Linked DNA regions of Callithrix jacchus. The protein of the gene in region 1 interacts with the protein of each later gene in a pairwise test. Links are inferred from orthologs where the notes say so. Each region holds a gene or a part of one and is shown on either strand. Other genes may lie near its edges.

The links.
Region 2: the proteins of DISC1 (region 1) and YWHAQ interact in a two-hybrid assay, tested with the Homo sapiens proteins (2 studies listed by BioGRID and IntAct). The link is inferred for Callithrix jacchus from reciprocal best matches to the Homo sapiens genes DISC1 and YWHAQ.

What each region holds. Positions count from the first base shown.
Region 1 is NC_133520.1:53,272,916-53,278,381, forward strand, and holds the start of DISC1 (disrupted in schizophrenia 1 protein), read right to left. Parts: upstream 3,281-5,466; 5' UTR 3,213-3,280; coding exon 3,149-3,212; intron 1-3,148. UniProt on the Homo sapiens protein: Involved in the regulation of multiple aspects of embryonic and adult neurogenesis. Required for neural progenitor proliferation in the ventrical/subventrical zone during embryonic brain development and in the adult dentate gyrus of the hippocampus.
Region 2 is NC_133515.1:105,347,356-105,353,115, reverse strand, and holds the start of YWHAQ (14-3-3 protein theta), read right to left. Parts: upstream 3,854-5,760; 5' UTR 3,776-3,853; intron 3,365-3,775; 5' UTR 3,283-3,364; coding exon 2,989-3,282; intron 1-2,988. UniProt on the Homo sapiens protein: Adapter protein implicated in the regulation of a large spectrum of both general and specialized signaling pathways. Binds to a large number of partners, usually by recognition of a phosphoserine or phosphothreonine motif.

The DNA of each region.
Region 1 (5,466 bases):
ATGAACATGAGAAATTGACTTTTTTTCTACAGTAATGTCACAATGTTTGAGCAATTAGCAAGTGCTATTTTTGCCATTTAACCAAAATAGTAATAATTTGCATCCCATTTTTGAAAGACACAAACGGATACATGCAGCATAGAAAAATGAGTTACAAGAGGCTGGGCACGGTGGCTCACGCCTATAATCCCAACACTTTGGAAGGCCAAGGTGGGTGGATCACCTGAGGTCGGGAGTTCAAGACCAGCCTGATTAACATGGAGAGGAATCCCTGTCTCTACTAAAAATACAAAATTAGCTGGGCATGGTGGCACATGCCTGTAATCCCAGCTACTCGGAAGGCTGAGGCATGAGAATCGCTTGAATCCGGGAGGCAGAGGTTGCGGTGAGCCAAGATCACGCCATTGCACTCCAGCCCGGGCAACAAGAGCAAAACTCCATCTCAAAAAAAAAAAAAGAAAGAAAAAGGGGTTACAAGAACAGAGACACCAAGCTATTTGTCTACCTTGCTGAGATTACAGTAGTTTTTAATGTTCATTTACTAGTTTACAGTTTTCTGTGCTTCCTGTAATGAGCAAGCATTGCTTCTGGAAAAATAAAAACCCGTAAGATAAACTTAATTTAGGAAACAAGTAAACTAGGAATTGTTTCTGCAGCACAAAGAACATTCATGCTCCTCTCAGAAGTTTCTGCTTCCTCTGGTGGCATCTTGGGTGAGCAATGAGCTTTCTGCAGAAAAGTCCTGCGGCCCAGCCCTGCAAGGTAACCACGACACCCAAAGTCTGGATCCCTGTTAACACCTCATGTGGCATCCTAAAGGTTCTGGCAAATGAATGGTAAAACAAAGCATTAATCCAGATACCACTTTGAGATTTGCAATGAGATCTCGCCTTCTGTTCCTTCAATGTTTTAATAACTTTTCTGCAAATTGTCATCATTCATTATACAAGAAGGTAGTTTAAAGTATATTTTATAAAACAAGGCTGAAAGAAATTAGAATTACCCCAAAGCCTCTTTTGCCAGAACTAACAATTCAGTCTTACATTTTGGGTCTATAGATATGCAGGATGGAAGCTGGGCCCAGTGGCTCATGCTTGTAATGCTAGTGCTTTGGGAGGCCAAGGTGGGAGGAATGACTGAAGCCAGGAGCTCAAGACAGCCTGAGCAACATAGCAAGACTCCATCTCTAAAAAAATAATTAGCTCGGCATGGTGACATGTGCCTGTAATCCCAACTACTCAGAAAGCTGGGCCAGGAGGATTGTTTGAGTCCAGAAGTTCAAGGCTACAGTGAGCCATGACTGCGCCACTGCATTCCATCCTGAGTGACAGAGCAAGACCCTGTATCTCTTAAAGAAAAACAAAAAGTTACCTAAAATCTAATATAGGTCTGTTCTGAATCACGGCTCCACCCTATAATTTCAGTTTGGCCAGTGGCCGAGAACACAGCTGTGAGTGGCACACACCAGGGTTCTAATCCTGGCTTTATGCTCAAGAGCTCTGTGAGCTTGGGAACCAAGCAGGGTGACCTTGAACCTTATCTTTGTCATAGGGAAATGAGGACTGTCATCCCAGTCCCATACAGATATGGGGAGGAGTTCATCAGAGGAATTCCTAATGAAATGTCTGGCACATTTTAAGTTCTAAAAATGCGCAGATATTATTCTTCCCTCCTAGTACTATCATGTGTGATATGTGCTTAGTGACTCACACTCCGCACGTAAGGTGCCTTCAGATCTTTTACCTCATTTGATCCTCAGACAATGCGATCAGAACAAAAGGCAGTAATTACTACCCCCATTTTTCTTTTATCTTTTATGTAAACAGATGAGAAAGCAGGCTCAAACTCCAAGAGCCAGAAAAGCTGCATGTCTCTTGTCCAGGGCTCTTTTTCCTCTGTGGCACAAAACTGAACCTCAGACGACTTCATGTATCATGCCGAGTGTAAAAAACTACATTTATTTTTAAATGTCCTGCTATTCCTACATTAATAAAATCCAACTGGTATTATCACGTTCCTCCCAATTATTTAGAGTTTGCTTAGTAAAAACAGCCACTAAGGTTTTTTGAGTGCACGCTGGGTATCTCAAGCATTGGGTGAGGTGCTTCACGTCCACGGTCACAGTTAAAGTGCATAACAACACTATGAAGCAGGTACTGTGATCGTGTCCACTTAATAACGGGGAAATTGAGGCATCGGTAAGTCCAGGATTGACATGCAGACTGTCTCCAAACCCCAGCTCATGTGGTCCTAGTGTTGTTCATCTCAAGTTTGTCTGGACGATGATAACACTGCAAAGTGAATTCCCATACAACAAAGCTAACGACACAGGGAGGCCAGATTATAAGTGTTCTCTTTTACAGTTCAGGAGACTGAGGCTCAGGCTTAAGTGACTGACCCAGCCCTGTCCTCACCCAGCAAGGACACAAGGAAGCACTCCCTAACTCCAAATTTCACTGACTTTGGAAAACCTCACATTCCTTTGCGAATATTTTAAGAGTGATGTTGAAAAGCAACCATCCACTCAGTGGGCATCACTAAGAGCTGACCGCGAGACCCGCGCTCCGGCGGTGGAAACCGAGCAGTCTCCGGCTTGGGCCGTGGGCGTGCCTAGTAGGAAGTGGGCGGTGGAACTGATTTCAGAGCAGCCCGTAGCCGAGCCACAGGCACCAGTTCCTGGTCCCTCTCCCAGCCTCCTCCCCCTAGGTGCCCGAAGGGGTGGAACCAGAGATCCAGGGTTTGGGGATTAAGGTGGGTGGGACGTCCCCTGTCCCGTGGGGGCGCAGGCTGGGGAGCACCGCAAGGAGAGTGAGCGCGGCGCAGGTGTCCCGGGACGGATCCAAAACCCAAGCACGCCCTGGCAACCCTCCCCGGTCACCAGGACACGCAGCGGGGGCGCAGGTCAGGGGATAGCTGCACAGTCCTGGGTCTGGGACCTGGCCCGGCTCGGCGCTGGCACCGGGCTAGCAGCCCAAGACTGGCTCTTCTCTCAACCCCGCACGCCGCGCGTCCTGCCTCAGTTTCCTCACCTCGAAAGGGGTTGTCAACAGAGGCACGCCCCGACCTACAAGACTTCCTGGGGGCCAGAGCGCGCCCTCCCTGCCAAGACCCCCCAGGACATGCTAGGACGTGGTGGCAGCTCCCTTACCTGCGCAGTGGCCCACGCCGCCGCCACAGGCGGCCGGGGCGCCCTGAGGACGCCCGCCTGGCATGCTCCTCCCGCTGCCAGCTCCTCCCGCTCCGCCCGAGCGGCTGCTGCTCGCTCCCCGAGGCCAGAGGCGGGGGAAGGGAGCGGCGCGCAGGACGGAAGTGGGGAGGGGGCTGGCGACGCAGGGGGCGGCTCCTTTCTTCTCCTTTGCCAGGCCGCGGTTTCCTTTCCAGGGTTGGCCCCTCACACGCGCGCGCACACACACACACACGCACGCACACACACACGCACGCGCACACACACACGCGCACGCACACACACACGCACACACACGCGCGCGCGCACACACACATGCACACACACACGCGCGCGCACACACACACGCGCACACACACACGCACGCGCACACACACGCACACGCACACGCGCGCGCACACACACACATGCACACACACACGCGCGCACACACACACGCGCACACACACACGCACGCGCACACGCACACACACGCACACGCACACGCGCGCGCACACACACGCACGCACACACACACGCACGCGCACACACACGCGCACGCACACACACACGCACGCACACACGCGCACGCGCACACACACACACGCGCACACACGCGCGCGCGCGCTCACACACACGCGCACACACACGCACACACACACACACGCACACGCGCGCGCACACGCACACACACGCACACACGCGCAGCTGGAGCGGGCGGGCCAGCGGCCCTCACAGCCGGTTTCCGGGATCTCGGGACCTCAGGAAGTTTGCTTTCACTGTGGCTCATTTCTGGAGGAAACGAGGGGAAGTGCGGGAGGCCTTCAGCACCGGGTAGAGGAGGGCGCCTTCCAGACGCGTGATTTGAGAAGTGACCACACAGTGATGGAGAAGATGGAGGGATGTGAGAGACTCAATTATACAAAGTGCGGAGGGTGGGGGGAACAGTGGGGATGACCGATGACCCTGAAAAAAGATGAGTGGCAGCAGATGTTTAGAAATGAGATGGAATTCCAATTTCTAGCATCTTCCAGCCGCTCTGGAGTGGTTCCCGGACACAGGCTGGTTTCAGGACACAGGAGTCCATGCAAGCTTGCTCCTAGGCCGCTGATTCAACCCTTCTCTTTGGTTCATTCAAGGAAGCTACTAGAGCACCCCCTAGGTAGCACCTGCTATATAGGACAATGGGTACAAGGAAGGGCTACACGTGGGCTCTGTGTCCTTAAGCAGCTCCCCTCCAGGCCAGAAGGAGAGCACGGGCATATGAAACCAAATCACATCAGGAGCTAGAATGTGCCATGTACCAGAGGCTTGGCACAAACCTTCTTGCAGGTGGCTCAGGGATAGGAGGGAGGGTTGTGAAGAAGGATTGGGGAGACGTTCTACAGGAAAGGGAAGGCTCTCCTCAGAACGAGAGGAGTTACAACTAGAGGAAGGCTGAGGTCCTTCAAAAGCTGACGATCTTATGAGTGAAAGCATACAGTTGTGCCTAAAATTCGTGTTTTGCCCAGCATGGTAGGTAGTGCACTCCCATCGTTTCAGCTACTCGGCAGGCTTAGGTGGAAGGATTGCTTGAGCCCAAGAGTTCAAGCACTGCACTGAGCTATGATGGGGCCACTGCATTCTAGCCCGGTGACAGAGAGAGACTCCTGCCTCTTTCCCCACGTCTCTAAAAATAAATGGATGTATAAATATCTAAGGCTGGGCACTTTGGGAGGCCAAAGTGGTAGGTTCACTCGAGTCCAGAAGTTTGAGACCAGCCTGGGCAACACAATGAGACCCATTTTTTTTAACTTTTAAGTTCAGTTTGTTACATAGGTAAACTTCGGTCATGAGCGTTTATTGGACAGATTATTTTGTCACCCAGGTATTAAGTCTAGTGCCCATTAGTTGTTTTTCTTGATCGTCTCCCTTCTCCTACCCTCAACCCTCCAAATGGCACCAGTGTATGTTGTTCCCCTCTATGTGCCCATGTGTTCTCATCATTCATTTCCCACTTGTAAGTGAGAACATGCAGTGTTTGGTTTTTTGTTCCTCTGCTAGTTTGCTAAGGATAATAGCCTCCAACTCCATCCATGTCTCTGCAAAGGACATGGTCTCGTTCCTTTTTATGGCTGCATAGTATTCCATGGTATATATGTACCACAAAATCCTCTACCACTGATGGGCATTTATATTGATTCCATATCTTTGCTATTGTGCATAGTGCTGCAATGAACACATGCATGTAAGTGCCTTTATTATAGAATGATTTCTATTCCTTTGGGTGTATACCCAGTAAGGATTGTTGGGTCAAACAGTAT
Region 2 (5,760 bases), on another chromosome or scaffold:
TTGAGTCTGGATTTTAACATTTTTTTTCTGCTTCCACAGTTCAGTAACCTCTTTCAATACAGTAGTTATCAAAAGTGTTGAAAGTTGTTCAGTTATTTTGAATGCAGGGTTCAAGTAATTCTGCCCCAACCCACTCTATGAAAGAGAAAGAGACTAAGAATATCTGCTCTTTTCTATCAAAATTTTGGCTACCCTTCATGTTACTTTTACTAGTCTTCTGTAACCACCAATGCAGTCTCACCTCCTCCACACCAAATTTTCCTTCCTGTTCACCAAAGGAAAAAAAGAAAACCCTGTATTAGCATCCATGTGTAGACACTTTAGGTTTTCCTCTACTATCCTAGACTCCTTACTAAATTACTAACTCATCAATTATCAGACTCTTGTTCACTTGTCTATCACTTACTTGTCCATCAGTTCAGATCACAGACTGGTTAGTTAGCACTCAAACCACGAATTCTAGATGCTGCTACATATACAATGGTGGCTGACATCTGTAATCCCAAGACTTTGGGAGGCCAAGGCATGAGGACTGCTTGAAGCCAGAATATCAAGACCAGCCTGGGCAACATAACGAGACCCCATCTCTACAATAAATAAAACCTTTTTAAAACTCCACTGTTTCTCATCAATCAAATGAGGGGAAAAAAAACCTTACTCTAACCTTCTCCTATAAATAATGATCCCTACCTTTCTTTCCAGACTTGTCTCCTGCAACAACTCTACACATACTCTGCTCCAGCCACACCATTCCATTCTTCCCTGAACAAGCCTTATCCCAGATATTCCTTCAGCCTTTACTGACACCTCCCCCAGCCTCTCCCATCAATGTTCACCTCACAAAAAGGTATCTTTCTGAACCCTTTTCTGAGGTTTCTATTTCCTTCAGACTAGATAGCATCGTGTTCATTAACTATCTGATGGGAATATTCTTGTGTTATTTACATTCATGTATGTCCCACATGCACTCTAAACTATAAATCATCAGAGGGCATAATCCACAGTTCTGTTTTGTTCTGCCCCGTATTGCTTAGAGCACAGTGCCTGGCACACAGAAAGCTCTCAATACAGTTGCCAACTTGAAGAAGTGCTTTCCCAAGATAGGCTGGCCACCAAGCCACGATTAGCCTCTTAAGCCATTTTATGAATATTTAATTTATGCCTTGGTGTCTCAGATTCATCAAGGTAAAGTATTCTATCTCTTCTTAGTATATAAAAGAGACGGTCCTAAATTCAGGGGTTCTCTCCTATTGAAATGATCTGTATGAGAGTTCTAATAATACCTGGTCTCTCTCTCAAGCTACACATCAACTAAACAAAACTCTCCCCCAACTTATGCCATCATAAAAAGTAAAATTTGTAAGAGCCACAAAATAAAACAAATATTCCTTTGACTCAGAGTCACCTTGATGGAGAAAAAGAAAAATTATGTGGCGATTCTGAATTGCCTCAAGGTTACTAACTGCAAAGTAATAGTCTTTTCAGAAAGAGACTGAAATATATGCTGTGAGAGCACCCAAAATACATATACAGAAAACCCTGTTAACATGGAATTCTTGAGTCTTTCCTTGGTAACAGATAATGCTGTTAACAGCCATTACCATATGTTATTGAAGGTGAAGTCTACCATTACTTTCAAGCGGGCAAATTTTTTTTAATACAAGCAATTCAGTCCAAAGAACTTTTACAAGGGCTTCTGCAACGTCAAACAGGGACTGGAAGCTAAGAACACACGATGAATAAAACAAAGTTTTGACTTCATAAAGTAAATAACCTCAAGCTTTCTCCACTTCAGTGCGCACTCTGTCTGCATTACTTTCTTTGCCCCTTTACCAGCTATTTCCATCCACCATGGTTTTGTTCGGAGCGCCTGTCGTCGTATTAGAAAAATAGGTTAAAATAGTTCTGTGGATTTTTTTTTTAAACAAGGAGTTGGGGAGGGAGCCAGAGCGAAATTATTTTTTCTATTCCCTTTTGAAAAAAAAAAAAAAAATCACCAGTCTAGCATGCCAAAGCCCACCTAAAATACGATGTGCACAAACACATAAAAAGTCAGTAGGCCTCATGTAAAAGTGGCACTTAAAGAGAGGCAAATCATGTCAGATTATTTCCTATTTTATTCAAAGAAATGACTGCAGCACTGAAACGTTTAAAAAACACTCCTGCATATAATACTGGTATTTCAATTTTAAAAACTTATCTAACTGATCAAAAGATTCGTGCAATGACAAAGCTAAAAATGTTCTCTCTCACTAATAAGGGTGAATCACACCAGCCACCTACTCCACCCAACAATCACCCTTGCTAAGGCTGGACAGTTCAAAACCTGGAAAGCTTGCTCCAAACCAGAAACGAATTCGCTTCAACACTAGTGCACAGCTACGCGACAGCAAAGAAATGTTACTAAACGTTGAAATTTACCAGGACATTGTGTTCTTCAGATAGAGCTGTGCCCTTTTAACATTTACCCAACTCCCCCATCTCTCCTGTTTATAAGGGGTGGGGGGCGCAACAGACATTCTTACTAGAAAAATGAAGTAACTGCTCAGATTTTCGAAGTAAATTTCAATTACCGGGTTTGGGGAAAATCCCTACCACACTGTCTAACAAAAAGGTGCCTGCGCCTTCTTTCAACTGCCTGAAGCGGGTGAACCGACTCAATACATTTAAACGGCTCAGAGATCTCGGGACACAGTCTCCCGGCACAAAAAACTTACAACCGCCTTTCAGCCTCGCAGAGACCTACTTGGATGTTTCCAAATTCCATCGTTTGGTAGCTACCCAGCATCTGGGAAAAGAGATGGACTTGTCCTTGGAAAAGCGGTTTCGGGAGTCTCCAGAACCAGGGAAGCCAGGGCTCGCCTGAAACCCTCCACCTCGGCAGACAGTCCGGCAAGGTCCGGCTCACGTTTCCTTGCTTGCCCGCGAAACTCTCGATGAAAAGCACCCCACAAAAGGCCTCCCCCGCTCCCCGCGCCGAGGACTCACCAGGACCGTGGTGCAGATGGATCTGAGCTCGGACTCCACTTTCTCCCGATAGTCCTTAATCAGCTGCAACTTCTTGTCGGAGGTGTCGGTCTTCTGCTCGATGCTCGAGATGACCCTCCAGGCGGACCTGCGGCCCCCGACCACGTTCTTGTAGGCCACGGAGAGCAGGTTGCGCTCCTCGTTGGACAGCTCGGCGCCCTGCTCGGTCACTGCCTTCATGCAGGTGGCCATGTCGTCGTAGCGCTCGGCCTGCTCGGCCAGCTTGGCCTTCTGGATCAGCTCCGTCTTCTCCATGGCGGGCGCAGGGCCGGGGCCGGGGCGAAGGGTGAGGAGAGCGAGGGCGAGCGCCGACCCGGAGCGGGAGGAGACTCAAGAGCTGCGGAGGGGCGGGGCGGCGAGGCGAGAACAAAAAGCAGGGAGGGAGCGCCGTCAGACAATGCGACCCGCTGCCCGCTTTTGTCTCCTGCACACGCGGCCGCTTGAATTTCCCTCTCCCCAGTCCCAGCCCCCGCCCCCGTCAGGCGCCCGGAGAGGCCGCGGCCCGCGGCAGGAGGAGGCGGGGGCGGCACGGAGGCCCCGCGCGCGGGAAGCCCGAGCCGCGGCCGCTCCCGCCACCCCCGCCCGGCCGGCCCAAGATGGAAGCGACCGTTGGCCCCGCACCTTCCCGCCCAGAGCTGTCCCTGAGGGGAGCGGCGTCGACAGCCCGCCGCTCCCAAGGGCGGCGCCTCAGCCGGGCCCTCAAGCCCAGAGCGGCCGGAGGAGGCCCGCGGCCAACCCAGATGCTCACCTTCACGTCTCCGCGGCCGCGACGCGAGTCCCACCACTTTGATCTGCCTTTGGCTTTAGCCGAGGACCCTCCCGTCTCAGCCTACCCCGGAGCCGAGGGGCGGTCCGCCGCCCAATTACGCGCCGAGCTTGCCCCGAGAGTCCCGCCCCCCGACGCGCCACGGGCCAGTGAGGACCGAGCGCGCGGAAGGGGGCGAGGGGGCGGGGCGGGAGGGAACGCGGAGGCTAGGAGGGTGGGTCGGCGCGGGGAAGTTCGGTTGGCCGGCAGGCTGCGGCTCCGGCCACGGGGTTTCCTCCAATTAGATCCAGGGTAAAAGGACGTCACTGTTGCCATGGTGATGCCGTTACCAACTCCCCTCAGCCTCCCCGCCACCCCGGCACTTCTGGGTGCGGCACGAGACCCAGAGGCGCGCACGACCTCCGAGGCGGCGGCCGCGTCTCCCGCTGCGGATGGTGCATTGCATCTCGCGGGCTCCGGCCGAGGCTGGACTTGGGAGGGTGACATAATCGGCTGTTTGGAGCACAGGGGCCTTTCTTTCCTCCACCTTTCCCTCCGTGACAAAGGTTTGGATCCCAAGACACTAAACCCAGACGTTAACGACGTTGCCACTAGGGTTCCGAATTCAGCAAACCACATCCCCATTAAAGAAGAATTGATTCATGGAGACATTGGCTTCAGTATGGCATTTACATGATACATTCAAGTTTTCAGATGGGCACCTAAAACAAAAAAATTCCCTTATGAAAAGGTATGTCCCAGAAGATCCAGGCGAGTCTCTGCGGTTTTCTTTAAAATGGGGAATGCCAGTAAGCACAATTTGCAGGGAAACACCTATAACTACCCCTCCCCCCCAAAAAAAGCCTGCCCATAACATCTCCCTCCCCAAAAATCAATTTTTATGTTTCTTTCAGGCTTTCCAGGTTATGCGTCTAAATACATAATTTTTCACATCATTGTCGCCTGTGCACACGCTTTTCGTTTCTGGTATTATTTGTGAGAGGACACTTGAAAATCTGAAATCCTCTCCCTGGGTATTGATTTCTGATTTTCTTCTCCTGGGGAACACCCTGCTGAAGTGGGGAAGATTTCCCCAGGCTCCTCCCATTCAGGGTCATCCCTGGCATCTCACTTTCCTTTTAAAGCACTCCTGTCTCTCCTGGCACTTCCCCAGTGCCCTCACTCCATCCAGGTAGGGTGACTGTCCTGCCCTTCTGGTGAGTGGCCTTTGTGCCATCTTAGGATGAGAATTGCCATCTGGGTTCACACTGCTCTGATCCCTATTCCAGCAGGTCTAGGGAGAATGGATCATTGAAGGGCCAAGAATGCCACAGGCAAGAAAGAATTTCCCATTCTCAGTGGAGACTGCAGCGAATCTAGAGAATCTCTAGAATGGAAGATCTGAGAGTGCAGACAGATGGGAGGAGAAGGTGCCGACTTTCCAGAAATTCAGACTCCCTCGTGGCTGCCCCTCCCTGTCCTGACTTGTAAAGGTTGCTTTGTGCTTTGACAGACAGGAGAGGCCTGGATTGGAACGGGCCTGTGTCTTAATGCAGAAATGCCTTACTATGTTCCAGCCTTCTAATGGAGGGCCCTGCTGTTATTTCTGGAATCCCTGGGGCCCCACTGCAGACACATGAGTGTTTATGACCCTGTGGGCTGGGGTGGAGCCGGACACGGAGAAATCCCAATGGAAAGAATTTGCATGTGGAAGGTCAGATAAAATGCCTTCTGTATGACCAGTGAATTTCAAGCTCACCGAAATTAGAGGCAGCTCAGGCAAGGGGAGGAGCCGGTGGAGGTAGACTGGGGATAGAGACCCTTGAGAGGAAATTGTCAGGGGATGGGGCCTCTGTGTGATAGGGAGAGGGGCTGCCAGAAGGAGCAAGCACACTAAATACTAAACTCTTTGTCAGAAAGTCTCGACTGTGCTGCTGTCTCCCCCAGTGACCTTGGACAAGTTTTTGCTGCTTTTCATACCCTAGTCT